4 linked regions of the Cricetulus griseus genome follow. The protein of the gene in region 1 interacts with the protein of each later gene in a pairwise test. Links are inferred from orthologs where the notes say so. Each region holds a gene or a part of one and is shown on either strand. Other genes may lie near its edges.

What was found.
Region 2: the proteins of Ctbp2 (region 1) and Baz2b interact in binary tests that used the Homo sapiens proteins (3 or more experiments, as listed by UniProt). The two-hybrid records come from large-scale screens. The link is inferred for Cricetulus griseus from reciprocal best matches to the Homo sapiens genes CTBP2 and BAZ2B.
Region 3: the proteins of Ctbp2 (region 1) and nucleolar protein 4 interact in binary tests that used the Homo sapiens proteins (3 or more experiments, as listed by UniProt). The two-hybrid records come from large-scale screens. The link is inferred for Cricetulus griseus from reciprocal best matches to the Homo sapiens genes CTBP2 and NOL4.
Region 4: the proteins of Ctbp2 (region 1) and Zbtb18 interact in binary tests that used the Homo sapiens proteins (3 or more experiments, as listed by UniProt). The two-hybrid records come from large-scale screens. The link is inferred for Cricetulus griseus from reciprocal best matches to the Homo sapiens genes CTBP2 and ZBTB18.

What each region holds. Positions count from the first base shown.
Region 1 is NC_048596.1:67,839,129-67,842,628, reverse strand, and holds part of Ctbp2 (C-terminal-binding protein 2), read right to left. Parts: intron 2,323-3,500; coding exon 2,168-2,322; intron 1,940-2,167; coding exon 1,795-1,939; intron 1-1,794. UniProt on the Homo sapiens protein: Corepressor targeting diverse transcription regulators. Functions in brown adipose tissue (BAT) differentiation. Isoform 2 probably acts as a scaffold for specialized synapses.
Region 2 is NC_048599.1:114,750,975-114,755,192, forward strand, and holds the start of Baz2b (bromodomain adjacent to zinc finger domain protein 2B), read left to right. Parts: upstream 1-1,418; 5' UTR 1,419-1,539; intron 1,540-4,218. UniProt on the Homo sapiens protein: Regulatory subunit of the ATP-dependent BRF-1 and BRF-5 ISWI chromatin remodeling complexes, which form ordered nucleosome arrays on chromatin and facilitate access to DNA during DNA-templated processes such as DNA replication, transcription, and repair.
Region 3 is NC_048595.1:214,073,951-214,078,216, forward strand, and holds the start of nucleolar protein 4, read left to right. Parts: upstream 1-1,466; coding exon 1,467-1,730; intron 1,731-4,266.
Region 4 is NC_048598.1:16,377,965-16,382,182, reverse strand, and holds the start of Zbtb18 (zinc finger and BTB domain-containing protein 18), read left to right. Parts: upstream 1-1,418; 5' UTR 1,419-3,262; coding exon 3,263-3,275; intron 3,276-3,288; exon of another isoform or gene 3,289-4,218.

The DNA.
Region 1 (3,500 bases):
AGGGCACACCTGCCACTCGTCTTACTACTCTCCAAAGGGTCTGCTGGCTGACTTGATAGGCACCATATGTACTTAGAGCTAAATGACAGACACTGCTGGAGGACCATCTATTTCATTAGCAGAAGTCTTCTGAATAGCCACTCCAATCACAATGGGCCACAATAGTGACACTTCGTGTCCCCTTTACACTTTTCAACGCTCTGGCCCTAGGCAGTCTGTTTCTTGGACTCTGACTGGAGAAGAGGGGCTGACTACCAACAGGAACTATGTGTGAGAGACAATGGGCTAGAAAGCTGAATGTCTTCCTGCATAGTCCCAACTCAGGGAATTTATCTCTATTCCTGACAGACACACGTCTTTTGTTTGCTTTTTTTCTAGACAGGGTTTCTCTATGTAACAGCCCTGGCCTGGAATTAACTCCATTGGCCAAGCTGGCCTTGAACTCAGAGATCTACCTGCCTCTGCCTCCCAGAGTACTGAGATTAAAGGTGTGTGGCCACTTCCTTCAGGCTCAGATACATATTTTTAAACACAAGCATACTTGCTCGTGTCTGGGAAACATCTTTTTTCTTTTCTTTCTTTTTCTGAGACAGGGTCTAAGTAGCTAAGGCTAGGCTCAAACTTGCTATGCAGACCAGGGTGGCCTCAAACTCAAGAGACCTCCCTGGATAACAGGTGTATAACACCGCACCAGGTAGTTTTCTCAATTAAACTCAGGTACGTGGCCTCACATCAATCACAACAAGTTTCTTCTGTTGCCAAAGAGGGGCTCAGAGGGGCTGTAACTGGAAAAGAACAAGGCTGCTTAGGGTAGGGACATAGGAAGCCATGATTACCCAGGACTCTCAAAAGCCCGGGCTGAATAGGACTGATTCTGCTTTACATGAGATGTCTACCTTCCCCTGTGAGGTTGCCCCACAGACATACTGTGGGCATTGGCTGGTGCCACCCGGCACAGCTTCCTTTGTCCTTTTCTTATCCTGGGGTTCAGGCTCATAGTAACTGCTGCTCTAAATGCAAAGAAACAGAAAACTAAAAACAGGCACCCACCCCTCTCAAAGCTGCAGGCTCAGACTGTGAAGGGAAGTTGGATCCAGTGCTGCTTCAGTGGCCAGCATGGCGGGTGTGTCTGGGTTATAGACAGAGCTGTCGAGTCTAGCGTTAGGCCCGGTGCAGAGATGACTGTGAGGCACTGCGCACACCTGGCTTTGCTGTCCTAGGAGTTAGTTCCAGGAGCCCTTGGGGTGAGGCAGCAGCAGGTGGTAGGCCCAGGCTGATGGTACGAGCATTACTATGCTCAGGCTGCTGTGGCACCATCGGTACATGGGTTTCTAGTTATTCTGAGGTATTTCAAATGCATGAGGCTCATGAATAAAGAGGCGGCACACTTTATTCAGACAAAATACGTGGCTCTGAGGCACTCCCCACTGACCCCCCCAGGCTCTGCTGCCAGTGTACACCAATTCTCATGGGGGTGTGGGCAGGAGTCCCCTGTGCCACTCAGGTACTCTACCTTCCTGCTTAGCTTTCTACCCGCCTGTGGTTTTCTCTGAGAAGCACCCTGGGAATGGACAGCAGGTGGTGGCCAGCTTCTTTTGGTGTGCTCAATGAAGAACTCACTAATCTACTGCTTATCTCAAGATCTTCCAGCCCCTGAACCTGCTTCGAGCTGAGGCTGGGCAAAGGTGCATGGGAAAATGGAAACAAGACTCCCTAGGACAACTGCCCTGCCTTCTGCGTTCTGCCCATTACTGAGTGTGGCCTCCAGGCAGCCAGCATGGCCTTTCGACTCACCGAGCTCACCAGCAGCCTTGATGTCCACGTTGTCATAGCCACTGCCAATTCTCACGATCACACGAAGAGCCTTGAACTTCTCCAGGTCTTCCCTGGTGAGGGTGATAGTGTGGTACATCATGGCACCCACAGCCTCATTCAACACCTGTGGGCAGGGACATGAGTCACAGGTCAGAACCCCTGGGAACACAAGGCTCTGAGACTTTGTTAGCAGAAATTATAGGATGGAGACATGGAGTAAGTGCCTGAGGGTGGCAGAGTAGGCTAAGGACATCGGGAATTCCATACACTTTAGGCATTCCTGTGTGTGACTACTGTGCTTACTGACATCAGCTGGCCTGGAGGGGCCCAGGTAAGGTGGGGTGCAACCCACCTTTTCATGGATTTCCTGAGTAGACTGTGCATCACAGAAGGCCACAGTGGCCAGATCCTTCAGGATGGGCATTTCCACGGTACAGTCTCTGCCGTCGAGCAGTGCCACTAGGGGGCGGGGATGCAGGGGGCCGTTCATGATCTGAGGGCGGATACCTATAAGGAGAAGAAATGTGTGGTAAGTACACTGTAGGGAGGGTGTCCTCAGTGGCTGATGCCAAGGCAAGCAGAGAGCACACAAGTCTGGTGGAGCCAAGGACATGACACAGCTTTACCAGCTAACGGGGGGGGGGGGGGCGGCAGCAGGGAGTGAGGGGTAGTGATGTTCCTAGATCACTGGAGGGTAAGTGCAGAGTTCTGGTATGAACTCACTTCGCTCTAAGACCCAGAGGGGCAATTGTATAGCTCACTTGAATTGCCCCATAAAGTAAAACTCTGGTCCAGTGAGATGGCTCAATGGGTAAAGGCACTTGCCACCAAGCCGCATGGCTTCAGGGTAACTGACTCCCACAGTGCAGGAGAGAACTGACCCCTGCAAGTTGTCCTATGATTTCACATGTGAACATACACAGACCCGAGAGCTGTGTCCATCTCCCTCTGGCACCCTCTCACTGCATGCAGAGACATCCTCACACCATACTGGCAGTCAGGGCAGACAGTGAGCCCAGAGTAGAGAGAATGTCTTTGTCCTGGTCTTACGGGAACAAGCTGTGTTGAAAGGGAATCTGACTGAATGGCAGCCAGACCCTGATATTATAGCATTCCCAGCATTCACCTGCCACCTGCCTGAGTGGTCGTGCCCCAAGTTCTAAAATCCTTTCATACTGGCAATGGCAAGGTAGTGAGCAGCAGGGTACACCCCAAGTCCTCACTGGCCCATGGCTCAGGTAACTGACAGGTTGGTCCTATAAGAAAACAAAGCCTCAGCCGGGTGTTGGTAGCGCACACCTTTAATCCCAGCACTAGGGAGGCAGAGGCAGGTGGATCTCTGTGAGTTTGAGACCAGCCTGGTCTACAAGAGCTAGTTGTTCCAGGACAGCCTCCAAAGCCACAGAGAAACCCTATCTCGGAAAAAAAGAAAAGAAAAGAAAGCCTCACTATCCCCAGTAGGTCCAGGTGAGGTCCCTGGAGGTGGCTGCTGTCACAGAAGGTGAGGTGACAGTGACATCACACAGTTGTTGATGTATTCATCCTGTCAATCAGCTACAGAGCACTGCTTGCTAACCAGATGAGCAGCTGAGGTATGTGAGGTTCTGATGCCACCCTGCCTTCTTTTTACTAAGGGAGCGTGCAAAACGGCCAGAGTCTAAGAACATGGGTTGAGCGTCTGGCAG
Region 2 (4,218 bases), on another chromosome or scaffold:
GGTAAGGCTGACATTCTCCGTGCATGCAGAAAGACCTAGTCTGCCAGCTTTTTTTCTTCCTAATGAAGCAGCTTTGTGAAATCTCCCCATGTGTTAATACTAATGAAGATCCTCCAGCACAATTAAAATCACAGCCAGTGGTTGAGGAGGAAACATAAAACAATAGCATCTTTTAAGATACATCTAGCCACATTATGTATGCATAAAATAATATATGGTCAAATATTCTCCAATAACTAAATTTTTACTTGGTCTTCATCCTGAAAACCAAATTACCTAATTTGTAACTATATAAACTTCAAGACTTTATTGTGTTCTAAAGGGAGAAAAACACCTTAATGAATATTTTTTTTAAATTACCTTTCTTCCTGGGTAATAAAGTGTACAATGGTTATGAATTTTTCTACCTTTTTTTTAAAAAATAGTTTTTTAGGAGGCCGCGGGTACACTGTTGAAGGGAACAGGCTGCACTTTACCTTTAGTTTAACTTGATTGGTTGAAGGGAATTGGGGAGTGGAAGGGTAAAAACTGAGTCAGCTGCCTGAAATTCTGGGGATCAGATAGTACACAGCGTGTTTAGTTGGTAATGGGCAACTGGTCTTTTAAAGTGTTTTTAGTTCTTACATTTAAACTAGTCCGTCCCCCCCCCCACCCCAACGGAAACTAGAAAAAAATTGAGACTGTGGCTTACAATTTATACCAGTAACTGCAAAAGGACTTAGTTTAAACGTCTTTAATTTGAATCTTAATCTTGACTCAAACCATGAACATTACAACCAGTTTAACTCCATGGAAAAGCAGTGGTATACCTTGCCTTGCGCCCTGCTTTTTGAGTCCTAGCATGCACAAATTCTTGGCACATTAATTTAGCTTGTTGGCTCCAACACAATTTCTAGTTTACAAACATAAAAGTTGGTGAAGATTGCTAATCTATGTTCCTTAATAGTCTTTACGTTTTTTTAAAAAATTAAATATTCAGTTCTGCCCCCTCCCCCTTTGAAAAGCAAAACAAAACATTTAAGTTTCTTAACTTTTTCCTGGGACGAGGAGCGGTGCAAACTCACATATACAGTATTCTTGGAATGAAGAAGCAGCCCCCTCCCCTGGATCCTTTTAGAGCTGATAGGTCATTTATTATTGGAACTGAAATGGTATAAACAATTCTCTCGCTCTTTTTCCCCTTGTTAACAGCAACTTTCATTGTTAGAGAGAGGAGAGAGAGAGAAGCCTTGTTGGTTGACGTCACTTGGTTCATGAAGCCTTCGCCTAGAAGTGAAGCTGCTGAACAAACCTTGAGAAGAATCATCTCCTGCTTCAATCTGCTGCTGGATAGGAACTAATCAGAGAGAGAGCGGCGGAAGACGGGGACGGAGGGAGCCAGGGCTTTCGCGATCACGGATCTCACCTCCACTCCAACTCCCTAGACTTTCTTGTAGAAATTATAAGAGAAATAAGGAGGCGGTGGGGATTCCGAAAAGCTTAACCTGCACCCGGGAAGGGCGAAAATCCCTTCCACCGCAACTCAGTTCGAAAGTGAAGGTGAGTTTGAGAGCCAGGGTGCAGGGGTGCGGGAGAGGTGGGATCCGGGCGGAGAGCGGCGGCTGCGGGCTGGAGCCCTCCCGAGGCGCCCGTCGCTGTTTACCGCGCCGCCTGGTGTGTCTCTTTGTTGTGCGGGCAGCGACGCCGCGATGGCTCTGGGGTCCTGAGTAGAGTTCCGGGCGGAGGGCGCAGGGACCTGGTCCCGGGCGGGGTGGGGGTGCGGGCTCGGCGGAACGGAAACTTTGCTGGGAGTGCGGGCGGGGATCGGGCGGCCGGGCCTCGTCCCTCCATTGTGCCGGCCGCCCTCGCCGCCGGCCTCGCGGCGTTCTCCTGCCCGGCCCGCTGCGGCGCCCCGCGGGGCAGTTGGCGAGGCCCCGGCCCTGCCCGCCTCCGTCCCCGGTCCGCAGCCTCGCGCCCGCGCCGCCGACCCTCGCCAGGCCGCCGGGTCTCCAGAGCCGGGGGGGTGGGGCTGCGGCCCGGCGCCGGGTACCTGGCACACCGGGTCGAGCGGGCTCCCCGCTTCCCGGGTCCCCGGCGGCCTGGCCAGCAGGTCCCGTCGTGGCGGGCTGGGCTCCCTGCCCTCGGTCTCCGCGCCCTCCCCCGCGACGTCCCGCTCCCCTCCCCTAAAGTAGTTCGGCGAACCCCAGAATTGGGATCTGGAAAGGCTGGGAAGTGTGCGGAGACTCGGAGCCGGCCCTGGGGGTGGGGGCTGGCTCCTCTGCCCCTTTCTCCCCTCAGTATTTATCTTTTGTGTGTTGTTTCCTTGTAAAGAGAGAAGCAGCTGCAGTCCGTGGCCGAGTTGTTGAAATTTATCCCTTTGTGTATATTACAATATCCTCCATTTTTCCCCCTGTCCTCTAAACAACAAGCGTTTCGCCATCTTGGGCAATTTTTATTCCCAAGTCTGTCTCTCTCTCTTTTAATTTTTAAGGAAGGGAAAGAAGCTATAGAAATGCAAAAAGTGTGTCTGGATAAGGCTCAAAGTTTAGGAACGGTTCAGGGGGCCATGTGACGTCATGTAAACTTTACCAGGAAAATTTCCCCAAAGTGTGTGTGTGTGTGTGTGTGTGTGTGTGTGTGTGTGTGTGTGTGTGTGTGTGTGTGTTTTGTGTTTTCCTCAAAATGTTCTCGTTTTATGGAATCGTGTTAGTTACTGTGTAAGTCTACCGATAAGTTAAGGGTTTATTTTTATTTTTTATTTTGCATTCAGAACGAATCGCAAAATCCGCACATTTAATGTTTGGTAGCAATAGGAAGATTATTTTAAAAAATTATCGAAACTTTTATTGTGCCACTTAGTATTCACCTAGTTTTGTGTATTCAGTTTTTATTCTTCAAATTTTCAAATGTATTTGTAAGAATATATTTCCTTTCTTATGTGGTTCCATAGAGTTAACAAATTTAGCTTAGTTAATATTTACATATCTTAGGTTATGTACCTTTCCTTTTGTAATTGTGGTCTAGTCTTTCGTGGGGTTTTTTTGTTTTGTTTTGTTTTGTTTTTTTTACATTTTAGAAGAACTATTCAGAATATCATGAGATTCTTGATGCTTTTACGTTTTAGTAGTAAATATTGAAGTCAAAAAGTTGGCAGAAAAACGTAGTTTAGCATATAAAAGGCAGAATTAACTTTAAAAGATAATTTTGCAACCTTTTGCTGTAAACTATCAACCATCATAAAAATAATGATAAAAAGTCTATTAAAATTGGTCTAAAGTAGTTTTTCACCTTACAAAAAAAAGTTGAGCTGGTCACATGACCACACTTAATGATACACTCACTGACGAGTATATAAATAGGCACAGTAAATTGAATGGGAAAGCGTAATTCTGTCTCCAGTAGTCATTTTCAGTCAGCATATTTACATCTCTTCTAACAAGGACATGAAACTGTCTGTCTTTAATTTGCATTCCCTTTGTCTTCTGTGTTGGGGAAAAACATTGACTACAATGAACTTAAAAAAAAAGCTAATAGAAAAAATTCTAAATACATTAAGATTTTCTAATATATGAAGACTTACATTGTAAATGGTATGTTTTTTAAAATTTCTGTAACAATATCCTTTGCTGTTTTCTGTTACTTATCCAGAAATTTGTTGAATGTAAAATGTTACATAGAAATCTTTACTGAATTGAATGTCTGCTATTTAGTGAATTGTAGGTAGGTGAAAAATGTTTAAATAGTTAAAAGCACATAGAACAGATGGTTCTAAATTATACATGCAACAAAGGACCAGAAGATTTGGCAGATTATAAATGGAAGCAACAGAGGATAAGCAGTTTAAGAAAATGGTAGTTAAGTACGGTGATGTCTCACACCTATTGTAAACACTGTGCACAATCAATAATTTAGATGACATTATGCTTTTGTGTGTTTCAGTAGAAAAGTAAGATTTTACAAATATTTGAAGCAAATGTTGAATGTAAAATTTTTTAAGCTATGGTGACAAAGAATTTTCTTTTAGGATATTAGATTGTATGTTTTTAAAACAGGAATTTGTTTATAAGAACTTAATATGGTCATATAATGGTTTACAGAGAAATAGGAATAGGTAAATATTTTTAAATCTAGATAATAGTATCTGTACTAATGTGGGTTAAACTAATAACATTGACTATGTTAACCTGTGCATTCTCTTTATACTAGTGAAAACAGTATCTTAGCTGCTCAATCTTGGGA
Region 3 (4,266 bases), on another chromosome or scaffold:
GGGAGCCACTGAGCAGCCTGAGAGCACCGGGACTGGGCTGCAGGAGGACCGAGCAGCGTTCCCACTGGGGCTTTCGCTGGAGAGACCATAGCAAGCCACCAGGCTGGGATCGGACCCCTCAAGGAACACGGTGCGGGTCGGGCCATTGGACAGGCTGGGCCGAACCCTGCGACCCGCGGGGGCCTTGGCAGGGAGTGCAATAAAGAAGAGCGGCCACAGAGAGCAGGACTGGAACTCCCCTGGTTTCAGCGCCACGGTGACACACGGGTGGAAATCCTGATGGAGGGATCGCTGACTTCCTTTGCTTGGGAAAATCGTCAGGAGCAACTCCGATTTGCCTCCTCTGAGCAGCGGAGGGGGGTCCATGACGTGGCAGTGGGAAAATAGACAACCGAAACCTCCCGCGTGAACTGCAAACTATAACCCAGGAAGGGGGAAGGACTGCTCTCTGCATTTTAATTTTACGCATAAGGTTCTGTGCGGTAAACTTATTTCCATGTCTTGTACCCACTTCAGCGGAACCAAGTGGGTCCTATCTTGGAACACCTTCATCATCCTGAAGAGCCCCAGGCAGCGGCCTGCCTCTCTGCTACCACATTCCCTGGACCGGATTCCTGTTTGGGTAACTCCATCTACCCTATAGAACTATAAACAGATATCTATTAATACTGGACCAGTTTCTGAAACCTAACTCTTACAACCTACCTGAGAGCTGGAATTTAGCCTAATACATCCGAAGAAATGGCATGTTGAGTCGCTTTTAGGATACCTCGGCTTCTTTTAAATTCCTGTAAAACAGGATCTGATAGGCTGACCAACATGACAGGTAAGAACTTTCTGTCTCTCTAGTGCTGTCACATAGAAGGCCAAGGCTGAGCAGGACCCAGCAAGGAGGAGAATCCAGGGACCCATGTGCCCTTTGAGGCTCGCCTGAGGGCTGCTTTCGCTAGAGGCGCAGCCCTGTCTCCTGGACCATCCACTGGGGAAGCTTCTGGGGCGCGCGCCAGGAGACTGCTTTGCGCTCCACCTGCCCTGCCCTGTACCCAACCCTGGGGCGAGGCATCTAGGGAGCATCTCAAGTCAATATTGGGATTTTTAATAAACCGAGGAATGGGATTTTAATTATTCAGAAACCCAGATCTTCTGGGTCAGCTGCTCTTGGGATGGTGCTGGTCACACAGTATTAAACGGAACGACCGTTGAGAGCACGAAAAAAGCGTCCGAGACATCCTTTGCAATTAGGAACAAACCAGACTTGGTAGCACAGGGCATTGATTGCTGGTGCCCATCCGGACCCTCCTCCTCTCTCCCTGGTCCTCCCCCCCACCCCACCGGAGGCAGGCTCCCGTGGCTGGGCCAGGACCTAGCGTCCTTGCATCGTGGCCTGGACTGCATATTTCATGAACCCGGAGTGAACAGGTGCGAAGTGCGCTGGGAGCATCCGGCCCGCGACATCACCGGGGAACATGGAGAGCGAGCGCGACATGTACCGCCAGTTCCAGGACTGGTGCCTTAGGACTTACGGGGACTCAGGCAAGACCAAGACGGTGACCCGTAAGAAATACGAGAGGATCGTCCAGCTACTCAACGGCTCCGAGTCAAGCTCTACCGACAATGCCAAATTTAAATTCTGGGTCAAATCGAAGGGTTTCCAGCTGGGCCAGCCTGATGAGGTCCACGGGGGAGGCGGCGGCGCCAAGCAAGTGCTCTTCGTGCGGGTCAAGACCACGGTGAGCCGCCTTCTCTGTTATTTGTCTGACGAAGCAGCCCGGAAGGGAGGGCGGAGAGAGGGGAAGGCAGGGAGAATGCTGGAGCCACTGTTGGCTCCTAGCCCCCACCCCTTCCTCAACCCCCTCCCGAGTCTTCCCTAGACGCAGTGGCCGGGCGTGATTTCCCTTCTAGAAAGTCTTTGTGGTCCTTTATTTTAAAGCAACAGCGAACCTTCAGAGCTGGCGGCCCTGCCTGCCTTGGGGCTGAGCTGTGGGACGGTAGCTGGAGCTTGCCTTCACCGCGTCTGGCTGCGCCTGGTGTTCCCCTGGCCAGGCCATTGTCCCATGCCCTTCGCTGGGAGGCTGGCGAGTGTCCTACCTCCGTCAGGGAGCATAAAGGCCAGGCTGGAAGCCCAGCCACACGCTCTGATAAGGCGATGCTGATGGATAGATGGGCTACTGTGTCTCCTCATTGGCACAAAGCCCGAATGTGGCGGTTGAGGTGGTTTGGGGGCTTTCCCCAAGACATTATCGAGTTTTGTTGTGAGACCACCAGCGGGGAAGACACAGGACTGTCTGCGCGCCTCGGTCGCCCCCTGAGATCCTAGCCAGGAGTGTTTGGTTGGCAGATAAGGTCCTGGACATTCCTCCTCCCCGCCCCCCATCCCCTTCTTCACTTGCACCACCGAAGCTTCCTCAGTTAGGCGATGCACAACAAAGAGAGACGGGGTTGGGCGCGATCAAATGCTGTATTTGTTCCTCTTTCTGGGTTTGTTCTGGTTTCTTAGCCATAAAGCTGTAGTGAACGAGGAACCGGCTGTGAGACTGGTATGTCTCATCCTAAAACGCAGATGCCTGTGGGGCTGGGAGGTTGCAGCTGCATCCGCTTCCTTTGCAAGATGGGAACACGGGGCTACAAGTAAGATCTCAGGTTAGATGTATTAACACCTAGCTGCCTCATAATGGGTACTCACCTAGAGTGGGGGTGGAGGATCTATCTGGCACCCTTTGTATTTTTGTATCGCTTTGGGATTCGTTGAGCTTTGCTCCTGCCCCCCACCCCACCCCCCTTTTTAACTGGCGACTGTTTCCCAGTGCACAGCCCCCTGAGGATGTTAGCAAAGGAGGCTTCTGGAGAAGTCTCTGCTTTCTCTGAGGTACATGAAGGGCTCTAACAAGTTCCGTCTGGAGGACTCTCTCAGGTTTGGAAAAAGCCTTTGGCTTCCCAAGATTAATTGGGAAAGGTGGCTTGAAGGATGGAGGTTGCTTTTGGAATTTATATGGGAAATCTGAAAACAAAGATGAACTGGAAACACAGAAAAGTTTTTTTTCTTCTTCTCGAGGTTCAGTTATTGAAAGGTTTGCAGGAAGTAGAGGTAAATGTCGCATTTGTTTTCTCCTGTAGCACAGAACTAGGTTAAAGACAATGGTGAGGCATTAGCTTGCCTGGCTAGATGAAAATGACCAGTTTGGCATCATTTAGAGTAAGGGTGCTTTACATCTGTGTGAGCCAGAAGAGGAATTGCTTTGTTTCACTTGGATGGGGACCAATATAAAGAGTGGACAGGAAAAATAATTTATTGATAAGCAAAGTGAATTATAATTCTAGCTGATGGAGTAAAATATTGTTATATATTTTTAAAATACTGTTTAACATGGTCATACATAAATACTGTAGGTTATATTATATTTCATTGCTAACCAGAAAGTTTTTCAGTTTTTCATTCTTTTTTTGTGTTAAATTTAGATTCTCTGTTGGGTTCCAGTGAGTTCATGCTTGCTTAGATTTGATTATAACTATTATATGTGTTTTTATGTGTCCCTTTGAAGAGTATTTAAATTCTAAATAACAAATTTTATAAAGTTGCAAGGCACCAAGATAATCGTGGGTATGAGTCATTCAAACCAGCATTCACATGCTGTGACACCCATATTTTCATGTCAAAAAAATAAATGTGGGGCTGCCAGAGAATCACTGCTAAGACATCTAATAGAGAGTGACAGCTGCAGGGATAATAACGTAGCACGTGTTTCTCTTTTCAGTAAAGATTCCATATATTAATGAGAGACAATGTGATCTGCCAGGTGATATTGTGAAATGATTTCCGTGTAGTATTTAAAGCACTCTGTGTTCCATTCAAGCCTATTTTGAAATGTTGAATAGGATTTTAATTCATGAGCTCTTCTACTGTTCTTTATGAAACATATTCTGCTGCTCCTGTCACAGAACTATAAGCTCCACCTTCTCTCTGAGACAGCCAATCACAGTTTCAATCAGTTCAAAATAAATAAAACATCCCTTTATCCTCTTCCCCAATGTCTGAATGCTTTTGCCCCCACCAAAAAAAAAAAATTCATTTGTCTTCATCATGGCATGGTGCAATCTCCAAAAGGACAGAAATGTGTTTTCTTCTCATTCAGAGAGTGTATATTGCATACATTGGTTGAAATGGGGAACTGCCTGTAAATGGTGTTTTCAAGTAGACAGAGAGTTGTTCTGAGCTCCCTGGGGTCTGAGGGACATTAGCTAGCCTTTCTTTTGGTGAGATATGCTTTG
Region 4 (4,218 bases), on another chromosome or scaffold:
GGGAAAAAGCGCCTCTCGCAGCCGCTCCGAGCTGGCGGCCCCCGTGCACCTGGCGGCCGACACCACAGGCCGGAGGCGGCGCGGCGCGGCGCGTCCCCGGGACGCGGCCCAAGCGAGCACCGCAGGAGGGCCAGACCCAGCCGCCCCAGGCCGGCCCCGGCCAGCTGCGGCCCCGCGCGCACTGCCTCCCCGGGACACCTGCCCCGTGTAAAAGTACACTCGAGGCCGTCGCGGTGCACGCAGACTCACTCTCTCACTCCACACCCCCAGAACGCGCTCGTCTCCAGCCTGGAAACAGGCCCCTCCCCGCGCAGCTGTCGCCGCCGCCTGCGGGCTCCTTTCACTTTCTCACGGCCAAGTCACCCAGAGGGGCGCCGCTGCCGCCGCCGCCGCCAGCGCCAGCGCCGCCGCCGCCGCCGCGGCCCGCGGACTCCGCCTCCCCCTCGAAGAGGCCACGCCCACCCAACAGTCGCCCCCTGCGATTGGCGCGCGCGGGCGGCAGCTCCTACCCGCCACTGCCATTGGCCGAGCTTCCCCGTCAGTCCCGCCGCCCCTCCGCCCACCCCGTCACGCCGCTCTTCTATTGGGCAACGCTGCGACCGAGGGCGGGCCAGCGACCGGGGCCCGCCGCTTTCGCTCAATCGCCGAGCGGCCGGCGCGGGGCGGCCCGGCCGGGCGGGGCCACATCTGGGCCGCGCGCCGCGGCGTGCGTGCGTGTGCGTCGTCCGCCCGCCCCGCCCGCCGCCGGCCCGGCGCCGCGCTCGCCCGCCCGCCGCGCCCGCCGCCCGCCCGCCGCCCGCTCCGCGCCCGTACGTCTGGCAGGCTGCGGCCGCGCTGGGGCTGCCTGATGGCCGTTAAAGAGTGGCCCGTGGCTCGGCGGCGCGCCTCAGGCTGCCACGCGGGCGGGGGCGGCGGGGGCGCGCGGGCCCGGGCCGGGGCCGGCGGCGGGCGGGGGCCGGCGGAGGACGCCCACAAGTCCAGCGGCGGCGGCAGAGGAGGAGGAGGAGGAGGACGGCGGCGGGGACGCGGCGACTCGGCCGCTCCGTGTGAGTCCCCGCCCCGCCCTGCCCCGCTGCCGGCCGTGGGTCCCGCCGGGGGAGTTAGTTAGTGCGGCGGAGGGGGCGGCGGCGGTGCGGTGCGGTGCGGTGCGGGCTCGCCTCGCCTCGCCTCGCCTGGCCGCGCTCCCCGGCAGCTGCGGCGCGGGGCGGCCGGTGCACTGCGGCGGCGCCTCCCGTGCGGAGGGCGGCGGGCGGGCGGGCGAGCGGGCGGGGAGGGGTCCGGGCCGCCGCAGCTGCAGCGCCCGGGACGGCCGCGGCTCCGGGGCCGGTGCAGCTGCAGGGCCGGGGGGGAGGGCGCGGCGCCCGGGTTGCGGTTGCCGGGAGGCCCGGGGCTGGCGCGCGGCGGCGGCGGCGGCGGGGAGCGGTCGCCGCGCCGCTTCTTGCGACTTTTCTTTTGTTGTTGCCGCGACCCGGGGCTGTTTTCTCGGCCGTTGTGGAAGGTGTTTTCCTGCTGCACCGGCTCTCTGCCCTGCACCTCCTTCCCAGTGGTTTCACCCTTCCTCTTTCCCCAAGTGCTTTATGCACGGCGAACTGCGCGAAGATTTGCATCCCCCCCCTCCACCCCAAAACCTCAAACACACCCGGGGCACCCTGCCCCCACCTCTGAGAAACAAAACCCCAAACCTCACAGAGCCCCCGCGGGTCCGCGGTAGCGAGACTTGGACGGGATGTCTCCGGGCCATTGCGGTCCTTGGGGCTCATTAAACTGTCACTCACCCCCACCATCACCCCAGTGAGTAAACGGGGTGATTAACGTCGGATATATTGGAATGGGGCGAGGGCATCCGCGGAGAAGAGGGTGTGTGTAGCAGGGAAGTAATGTGTCTGCCCAGTGTGCCTCCAGAACGAGTTCAGAATTATGTCATTCACCGCGAAGTTAGAGAAAGTTAGGTTTCTTAGTGACTCGTGAGCGAGGGCAGGACAGAGTTGGGGTTTTGTTCTCTAGCTCCCTGCCTCCGTTTTCTAAGGCGAGCCTAAGAGTGGCTGTCGCCCGGGTTGGGACGTTTGCGCCTCAGGCCCCAGTTTCTTTTTTCTACTCCTCGACCTCCCAAGAGTCTGTAGAGATAGATGTGTCTGACATTCATAGTTGTCGCAGCACCTTGCAGGGAACCGGGCGGCCCAGCCCGGGTTACCTTAGCATTTCATCAGCCATTAGAAACTAAGACCCACAAACTCCAGCCAAGAAAGTTCCCAAAGTCTACACTCCTGCTGATCACAACCCTTTAGCCCAAAGGGATAGGGAAGAAGGGCAAGACAAAGTGACGCCTTTTTCTGAGCAGAAACATGAGATGTGGCCAAACAGTCATCCTAAGTGACTGCAGCAGGTTGTGTCGGTTTATTAATTTGCCTTTATTGAACCGAAATACTTTCCAGGATTTCACAAAGTGCAGTTTCAGTTTGTTGACGCTGAGAATGGAAATCTGCATTCACGGTGGCAGTGTGAATTATTTTCCTGGGAGGTAGTTGCAGATAAGTTGCTAAGTAAGAGTGAAATAATAAGGTGAACCACGCTGAAGTAATAGCTCTTAATAAGTCTGCCAACATTTTGGAGATGTCTACCATTATCTCCGCGGGGGGAGGAAAAAAAAAAACATGCTGTAATAATGCCGAAGTGGGGCTGGAGATGTCAAATGGGTTGGTTTAAAAATATCCCTAAGCTGCCTTTGAAACTAGACGTTGGAGTTGAATAAAAGTGAATGTGGGTTTCCTGAATAGCACCGAGCCTGAGTGTGCTGTCATATGTAAGCCAGTCCACCAACTTGAGGCAGAAGTGTTGCGATTCCATAAATACAGTAGGACTCCATATGCTGAGTTTTTCAATTTCTTCTGTTAGAAAGTTTGGGGGGAAAAAAAGGAAGACTTTGAAGTATTTTGTTTATACTAACAGAAGAGAAAAGTTCTCCTAAGAAAAAGCTGGTGGCAGGAGTGTAGAGGAGTAGCATATGGCATTAAAGGAGCACAGCTGGAGGTAGCATTTCCATCTGAACATGATGTCAGAGCAGCTGACAGCCTGCCATCCCTCAGCCTTTTATTCTAACACACAGACAGGGAGCTAGTGTGTGCGGATCTGTGGTGGAGAAGGTATCTCATTCCTCTCCAACATCATCTCCACTTTGCATCTGTCTCTCTTAGTCTGCTTTTTTTCCACCGATGTAACAGACCTGGAGCCAGCAAGACTCCGAGGGAAGGACTTAATCAAGTTTATGTGTCCTAAAGGTAGGAGTAGCAAGAGATTAGATTGAGCATCTTTCTGTTTGGGTGTTTTATTTAATTTTTTTAAAAAAACATCACATTACTTTTGTAATCCACTTTATGAATAATGTGTGAAATTGAGCATGAAGTGATGGTCTTGAGCTGGAAGTCTTGGGCTTGCTTGGTTTGAATTTTTATTTCTTTTCTTTGAGCAAGTAAATAACTTTAATACACAGAAATATTTCAAGTTTTCAGATGGTAAGAAAGGCTTTGGAATATGGCTTTTTGAGATCACTTTGGATTAAGATGCCTTTTGTTGTTCACTGCTGTTTAGATTCCTTTTGCTTTAGGGGGGCAGAAACAGTAAACTGTCTGGAATCCAGCTTTCAAACTTATATGAGAAGATTATTCTGGTTAAGAAGCTAGGTTGTTGTGTAATTAATTCCACTGTGAAACTTTATTCTCCAAAACATTCGGCAAGCATTACTGAAAGCAGCATACAGCTGTAGTGCTTTTGAAACCGGAGGGTTTTTGTTGTTGGGATTTTTTTGTTTTTGTTTTTTAAGAAGAGGGGAGAAGAAAAAGAAAGACAACTTTTATCCCTAGGAGAATAGTTTGACCAGTTTCCTCATTTCTCTTTCAGATATATATTTAAGAGATCTTTTATTTCAGCGTAACAATAATTATTTGCAGGAGTTTCTGCGTTAGCGACTAATTTAGAACTTGTAGATTCGAGCTGCCTGAATTGGCCAGACAGCTGTAATCGCACTCCTCTATTCTTAATCTCTTTATCTGGGCAGCAGCTGCCATATGGCCACAGTCAGCTGGATCAGATGTTTATAAGCTTCCTTCTTCGTCCCTCTCTGTCCTCTCAGCCTCCTAATTTGATCACGGCTACCTTGTGAGCTGGCCTCCAGTCTTTATTTTTAGCCCTCTCCAGGGTTGGGATTGATGTTAGCTGTGGGGC